Linked DNA regions of Bombyx mori. The protein of the gene in region 1 purifies or fractionates together with the protein of each later gene. This does not show direct contact. Links are inferred from orthologs where the notes say so. Each region holds a gene or a part of one and is shown on either strand. Other genes may lie near its edges.

Region 1 (3,831 bases):
AATATTACGAGTATTTGTCTGTAGTGTAGTCTTGGCGAAATCTGTAACAATAGGACCATAATAATGCTGAAACTTATAATTTCAATTAATTATAGTCGAATTTCGACTACTGCTGGACTACTACTTTTAATAAATTTGAATTAAAAATAATGTAAGAAAAAAAAATTTTATTGTAAAAAAGCGTGGGATGCTTTTCAGGATATTATAAAATAACCCTTCTACTCATATCTGTTCATAAAATATTTATAACTACTAATAACCATGCACCCCACGCTTGCTTTTTTTACATTAATCATTTTTCTAACACAATTTTTTTAGTTGAATTTCAATATTTTTTTTTTCAATTTTTTATATTGATTTGTCATCGGTCCATAATAAGTATACCAAATTTCGAGTTAATCCGATGTTTTGAAGGGGGGTCAAAATCATGTTCAAAGATTCCGTTACATACATACGTCTGAGGCTAATAAAACGTATTAAAAAAGGATTTGAACGGTGTAACGGTTTTAAAGTCGTCGTGGCCTAAAGGATAAGACGTCCGGTGCATTCGTATGTAGCGTTGAAACGGTGTTCGAATCCCGCAGGCGGGTACCAATTGTTCTAATGAAATACGTACTTATAGAGTAAGATCCCATGGCCCCCAGACGTCACGTATTTTCTGACGAACGAAATGTGGCCGATTGCGTAGTGTTAGTATGTACTAAGAATGCATGCCTACCTGCTAGCTTGCTTAGACGGTCAATTTTCAGGTATCAGATACTCAAGGTACATAAAATCATTACCTACTTCACGTATTTTCTGAAAGCTGATTTTTACGTATATTTTAGGCAATATCCTTAAAAATAAGTCGCCAATACTCCCAGACACTTTCCGTCGGCCGAATTGCTTTGCAGACGCTTTAAAGGGCCATCCCCTAAATTCAATTTAATACCTCTGTGGGTAAGAGCGGGTCTCAGTGGGTCGCGTTTCCGATCCGGTGGTAGATTCTGCGAAGCACGGCTCTTGCTAGGGTTCGTGTTAGCAACGGCGTCAGGTTAGAGACCCGTGAGCTCACCTACTAGTTAAGGCGACGCTGAAATGGTCTCTCAAGGCCAACAGCTTAGATAAGAAAAAAAAACACCCCGCTGGCAAAAGGCACGAACTTCTAATGTATGAGCAGTTAATATTCATACGTCTGTCTATTGTAATAAAGGTTAATTTCGTTTGTACAGCCGACGCAGCAGCAACTCCTGGCGGCCACCTCCTCGGGCGACATCCGAGTGTTCAATCTGTTCACGGGGGCCGAAGAGAACTCTTATCAAGTTCACGAATCTTACATTTATCATATGCAGGTTTGTGCTTTGTGATTCTTTTATTTTTTATTTTTTTATTACTTAGATGGGTGGACGAGCTCACAGCCCACCTGGTGTTAAGTGGATACTGGAACCCATAGACAGGTACAACGTAAATGCGCCACCCACCTTGAGATATAAGTTCTAAGGTCTCAGTATAGTTACAACGGCTGCCCCACCCTGCAAACCGAAACGCATTACTTCTTCACGGCAGAAACAGACGGGGTGGTGGTACCTACCCGCGCGGACTCACAAGAGGTCCTACCACCAGTAAGTTGTGACTTTATAGAAATGAGAGCTTTAATATATTTGTGAATATAGAGATGAGAACTTTTAACAAACTTTTTTAATGAATTAAAGACGGTTTGCTTAGAGAGGATATGTATGGAAATGACAACGCGAGGTAGAGGGCGAAGAGGTCGACCGAAGAAGACATGGATGGAGTGTGTGAATGACGATATGAGAGAGAGAGAGAGAAAGGAGTGAGTGTTGAGATGACGGCTGATAGAAGAGAATGGAATAGACAAATTCGCTGTGCCGACCCCACCTTGCGGGATAAGGTTTAGAAAAAGAAGAAGAAAGATGAGAACTTTAATAAATTTGTGACTTTAAAGATGAAGTTTTTTTTTTTTTTTTTATTCCCTTTGTAGGCAGACGGGCATACGGCCCACCTGATGGTGAGTGGTTACCGTCGCCCATGGACTTCAGCAATGCCAGGGGCAGAGCCAAGCCGCTGCCTACCGCTTAATACTCTCCATAAGCCTCGTTTGAAGAAGGACATGTCATAGCGCTCGGGAAACACCGAGTATAAGGAAAACAACCTCTTCACTATTTATCTATAATATATTATATATTAAAATGTTATTAAATGGAAAAATGTTTTTTTTAAATCTTTCATTATTAATAAAATGTAAGATATTATGTTAATGTCATCTGCAAGAACAATGAGAAAGTAATAACAAGCCATCTAGTGGTCAACGCCCGTAAACAGAATGTGTGAGAAACGACCTGGCTCGCGTCTGTTCTCTCACTCTCGCTCTTCCTAAATTGTATCTTTTCTCTCTAGCCGTAACGAATTTGTCGCGAGTTAAATGTTACTCTCAACGGGCCTAGAGAAGTTTCACTTCAAAAAAGTAGTTGCTCTCAGGAGCTGAGTTATGCTTATAATTATGAATCCATGCATATGCATCCACAGACAAGCAGAGACGGACTTCTGTTGCTAGCGTCAGCCACCACTCCTTGGAGGCCGCTCTCCGCCCTGTGGAACATGAAGGAGTTCGAACTGCTGTGAGTATTGCTTGTGGTGCTGAGGTTGGCAGGTGGACGGGGCGCACTCCGAGCCCGCACGTTCATGTCGCTAAGTCATGCACTGTATATGAATAGGAATGGAAGCTCTCGCTCTATGTGTAGTGGTATGTGTTCACAATTGCAAAGTTTTTAATTGAACATTCTCGGGATTTCATATGACATGTCCTTCTTCTAACGCGGATCGTGTACTTAAAGGTAGGCAGCGGCTTGGCTCTGCTGTCGTCCATGGGCGACGGTAACCACTCACCTACCGATGGTCTGTATGTTGTCTACACGGGTTGTATAAAACAAAGAATCCTTGATGAATACGACGTTTTGAAGTAATTTTTTTTAATATTTGATTTAAGTTCCCACTTTAAGCAGTCGGAGGCGATTGGATTGCTAATGAAATGTAAAACTACCTTAATTTCCCGTCTGAGCTACGATGTAGACAGAGACAGACTTATACGTCAATACGTTTTGTAGAGAACGAGACAGGATATCTCGAATCACAAGTCTATTGTTAATGTGGTCACCTCACAACCACCTAGACCAGTGATCGGCTAAACATAGATAACACCCAATGGCATGCGGTTGATTTAAAAGAAACGAGAACAGAGATACAAGAAAGAGTGTACTTTGTCCTTTTCTGGGCTAAAATTTAAATTTAATTTCGAATTTTTAAATTTTTGAAGTGAAAACTTCTTTAGAATCGTTGTGATTTCAAACCGGATGCAACGGAAAAAACGACAGGCAAGAGACACAAATACAAAAATGTGTAGGATGAAACCAGCAAAGAATGAGACAGAAATATACATACTATTTAATACAGCGCCATCTGTGAGATTTTTTAATACTAACGTCTGTATGAAAGCTCTTGTAGTGAATTTTAATTTAGGATTATACGTGAAATTAAAATATCAATTCACAGAGGGCGCTACCTTACAATTATTTACTAATGACAAAATTTTACATATACTTAAGACGTTTAGGATAATTGTATTTTAATTTTGGAAGGTTTCACTTCTACCACGTGTGAATTGCACACATTTTGTTTTTTTTTTTTTTTACCTAATGGTATAGTTTATAAGTCATTAAAAAATATAAAACTAATTTTTTCTTTAAGATTTTTAATTAAGCCATTTCAATTCTAAAGTTGCGATGTATTTTTTTTTAGCATTGTATTTCAAAAATGTTTACTCGTCTCTCACAA
Region 2 (4,474 bases), on another chromosome or scaffold:
TGGAATTAATAAAGAAATGTCGTCAATGATAAATAAAAATTCGCAACTACCATTTCATGGGATCTAGAGCACGTTTCTCCAAAATTGACCAGAAGAATAAAATAAAGCTATGTACCTATAACCAAGCGGCTTAATATCAGAAATAAACGACCACCAATCTTCTGCTCTGATAAAGTGAGAAAGCTTTCCAGCCACGCTTAAAGGGATTACGATATGTTGTCACATATCGTTACTGACCCTTGCTGAAAGAAAGAATGTTTATAGAACATAGATATGGTTCATCTTCTCAAGAATCATAAACCTCAAGAAGATACACCTAAATCAACGGCTAATACTTTTTTCCAAAAATCTAGCTCATACCCTCCTCAATAGCTAGCATTCCACGAAATTATCACTGAAACCAGATAATTCCGATAATCTTCCCTATTGACAAATTGAGCAGGTTCTGTAGAGCTCTAAGTTTAAGCTTGGTAATTAATTGTCTATACTTCTATATACTAATATTATAAAGAGGAAAGATTTGTTTGTTTGTTTGTTTGTATTGAATAGGCTCCGAAACTACTGAACCGATTTCAAAAATTCTTCCACTGTTTGGAAGCTACACTATTTCTGAGTGACATACATAGATTATACACTTAATATTTTTGAAAAAAATAAGGTTCCTGACTAAAAACCCAATAATGTAACCAAAGGTGTAAAAAAAATACCTAAAATATTTATATTTACACCGCGTACCCTGCGAAAACTATTGTTAATAGAATAAAATAATGTACTACGACTTTGTAGAGCACATTATTATTTACAAAAAGTGTCGCGATAGCATATGACTAACTATTATAGTTATGCCGTAATAACTGTTATTTTATTTAAAAAAATAAAACATAATTATAATATTAAATATCGTTGAAAATTTTGTTAAAGACCAGAGCGGAGCCGGAGCAGGCCGCTAGTCCTTAATAAAATTTTATAATTTTTCTCATCGATTTTTATTCGGTCACGCCCTTTGTGTATTCCGAAAGTTGTTTTTAATTTACCTCCATTATTTTAAGATTCAAAATTTATGTCATATTTTTAATTAAGCAACATGCTTCTGGAAGCTGAGTCGTTTCATTTCTCTAGATATATTTTTTTTGCTTTCGGAGAGGATGTATTTGGATTATTTTCTTCACTACTTTGTTCCCATTCATCAAAGAAAAAATTAACGTTGACATGCGAAAATTGGTTCAAATATATATATATTTTTTTATTGTAAACGTATTTATGGCTAGTCTTCCAATAGAGAACGCGGGAGGTGAATTGTAAAGTAACTGTTAATTTAGTCTTTTTTCAGGTTAAACCATCTATTAATGGGCCTTACTCGTATAAACTGTTTAACACCTGTTTATTACTTTTCATAGTACAACAAACAGTTGCAATTGGATAAAATAGACTGTATGATATCATTTCTGTTTCTTTCATTTTTCCTGTTTTAGAAAAGCAAAACCATATCTGCCAAGTTGACACTTGACAGATTCTTTTAAAATGGCGTGTAAAAAACTAGAGCTCTTCTAAATAATTTTTCAGTATGGCAATTGGTTTTCTACGATCCTATTCCAAAAGTATCGAGTTTAAATAAAATACATCAGACAATCAATCATTAAAATCAATTCAATAATTAAAATTTAAATGCATACATACTTTGTAACAAGAAAAATACATCAGACGGAAATAAAGTTCATTTATTTGAAATTGTAACCATTACCGATGGTAATGAGTTGAATAGTCAATAAAATAAATTAATACAATATGAGAGGAGATGAAATAAAATAATCTCCTCCTATTTGTAATATAATTAAAAATCTAAGATCTCCTCTATCTTCTTCATCCAAATCTTAGAATTTTAGTGAGTCTTCACTGGTGTTTGGGCAAGAGCCCAAGAAGTCACATCCAGTGACTGTTTAATTTTCTCACACTTATCATCACTTAAGATGCACAAATATCTTACGCAAATATTAAAAGACCGCTTTTTAATTTAATAATAAGTAAAGTAAATATATTTGTCGTGTATTCACTTCCATTTAATGAATCTAACTTTTTTCAATCTTCAATGTTATAAACGTAGATTAGTTAAAGACAAGCTTGAAGCTATGGCCCCACAAACTTTTGTTTGTATTTTTGGTACCTCTTGGTTTTTTGGAATTTGTGAGGTTATTGAATAGTATTGTATCTCTAATTTTATTATTAGCCTCTGTGGTTAATGTTTATCATGTTCTACTTCTAGAGTGGCAACAAGAAGTTTACAATTTTCAACAATTTTCTATTAGGACTTCTTAACTGGTGCATTATTAAAATATCAATTCGTATTAATTCTAGTGTTGCATGATAGTAATAGAGACAAAATGATTACGAATTTCGATAAACTTTGTGCTGATTTGGAAAGGCAAGAACTTGAGGTAATAAGTATTTCAATAGAAAAGCTTATCCCGTTTTTACTACAACAATTTTAATCCAAATTATTCCATTGCAGACACCAAATGGAATAGCCAGTCCCTCGACTTACGCTCAGCTATTAGCTATTTATTTGTATCAAAATGATCTGTGAGTAATTTAAAGCAACATTCACTTAATTTCTTATCATAATATTCTTATTTGGACGGAAAATCACATTTATTTTTTGAAAATAATATATTTATCACCTACAAAGCATATAACGCTGTACTAAGTTAATACCAATTTACCAATACCAAATACCAAATTATTTAGTAGTACACTTAAAAAGCTTTTAAAAGTCTCGGGGAAGTCTAGTGTGAAAGTTTACTATATCTTGTTTCTTGGCCTGTTATAATCAATTTATTTTGTTTAATAATAAAATATTTATAAAATAAAATTTTGTTTTAATGACATAAAGTATTTATGTGATTATGATTAAGTTAATTGTTTCATATTGTGTTTATTATTATTATTTCCAATGTTTCAAATACTTCAGTTTTCATGCTCATTGTTTACCAAGTTAGTGAGATTAGTAATTAAAAGTAGTTTAATTTATTCTATTATCACTATGGACCTGTTGTGGTTGAGGTGGCCACTCAAGAAGGGGTAGTGCCTTAGTATCTAAGACATTTTATAATTTATAAGGATATAAAGATGTTAGTATAGCTGTATAACTAACACTATAACTAACAAAGTAGTAAACTCCACTAAATAAAAACTTGATAGCTAGTAGGCAATTGGTTGATTAGTATTGGTAATAGAGAAGATGGTAAAGCTAGTGGTTGATAGTAGAGTATATAGATTCATATACAATATTATCCACACTAAATTGAGTATGTTACTTTAAATTGCAGGTGTAATGCAAAATTTTTATGGAAGAGAATACCACAAAATGTAATGAGTAGCTCCCCTGAAATAGTTGCAATATGGGCTATTGGACAGAAACTGTGGAAAAAAGATTTACCTGGTACATATGAGGCATTAGCAGCTTACTCTTGGACAGAACCAGTTTCCAACATTATAAGAGCTTTGGAAGGTAACAATATTTATGAAACGCTATGAATAACTCATACATTCATAGAAATTTCTGATTTTTCTTTATAATCAATTGCTTTGCTTGCTATTCTATAAAATGTTTGTTAGTATTATTTGTGTGCCACTTGTCATATGTGAATGAAAATATGCCAAAAATCTGCCATATTAAAAAGCAAGAATCTTGGAAAAGTAGTTTCAACTGAATAAGATAACATGTAAATTACAAAGAACATTATACCAAAGAAGTATTAATATTGAAATTTTGAAATATGACGTGTCAAATTAGGTACGAGTGTAAATAAATTTTAACAGACAATACTATGAAGACTATCAGATTCTAAACTTAAAAATACCATTGTACTAAACACTTCTTCATACCACTATGATACATAAATAAGGGGCTTAATTTGATAGGGATTTCTATATTTGTAATAAAAAAAATGTTAAACTGTGCTGAGTTCCAAAATCATAACTACACAACAACAAAAAAAAAAACAAAAAAAAATTTTTAGTTTTGCTACATCAGGACCTGGGAAATTCCTGAAAGGAATGATTTTTAGGAAATGTTTCCCCTAAATGTTAAAAAGGTTTACTTTTCTTACACAATGACATATGAAAATGAGTATTATGTGAGGGAATATCCAGCAATGTGAAATGAGTGTTATATGAACATCGTCAGTCCTTTCCGACCTTTAATCACCAGTCAGTATTTACTTGTAATTTGGGCTTAAAATTTACCACCATCCATTCTATTTCTGTCTTGACGCACATTGATGAAGTAATCTAAATAAAAAATATACAATCACATTTTTTTTCATCTTCACAGAAAATGTTCGAGAAAGGACTCTAAACCTTATCGGAAGATCGTACAGTTCCATAAAAATAGATAAACTGATCTCAATGATTGGTCTCAGCAGGGAAGCCACATTACAAGTCTGTCAAGATCGCAGGTGGACTCTACATGATGATG

What was found.
Region 2: the proteins of protein mahjong (region 1) and COP9 signalosome complex subunit 8 purify together in Homo sapiens (affinity purification with mass spectrometry; 4 studies listed by BioGRID and IntAct, counting the BioPlex papers as one, with this or other methods). This does not show direct contact. The link is inferred for Bombyx mori from reciprocal best matches to the Homo sapiens genes DCAF1 and COPS8.

The regions. Positions count from the first base shown.
Region 1 is NC_085130.1:15,862,138-15,865,968, reverse strand, and holds part of protein mahjong, read left to right. Parts: intron 1-1,211; coding exon 1,212-1,331; intron 1,332-2,526; coding exon 2,527-2,618; intron 2,619-3,720; exon of another isoform or gene 3,721-3,831. UniProt on the Homo sapiens protein: Acts both as a substrate recognition component of E3 ubiquitin-protein ligase complexes and as an atypical serine/threonine-protein kinase, playing key roles in various processes such as cell cycle, telomerase regulation and histone modification.
Region 2 is NC_085110.1:11,099,503-11,103,976, reverse strand, and holds the start of COP9 signalosome complex subunit 8, read left to right. Parts: upstream 1-1,518; 5' UTR 1,519-1,562; exon of another isoform or gene 1,563-2,260; 5' UTR 2,261-2,378; coding exon 2,379-2,432; intron 2,433-2,506; coding exon 2,507-2,577; intron 2,578-3,323; coding exon 3,324-3,505; intron 3,506-4,330; coding exon 4,331-4,474. UniProt on the Homo sapiens protein: Component of the COP9 signalosome complex (CSN), a complex involved in various cellular and developmental processes.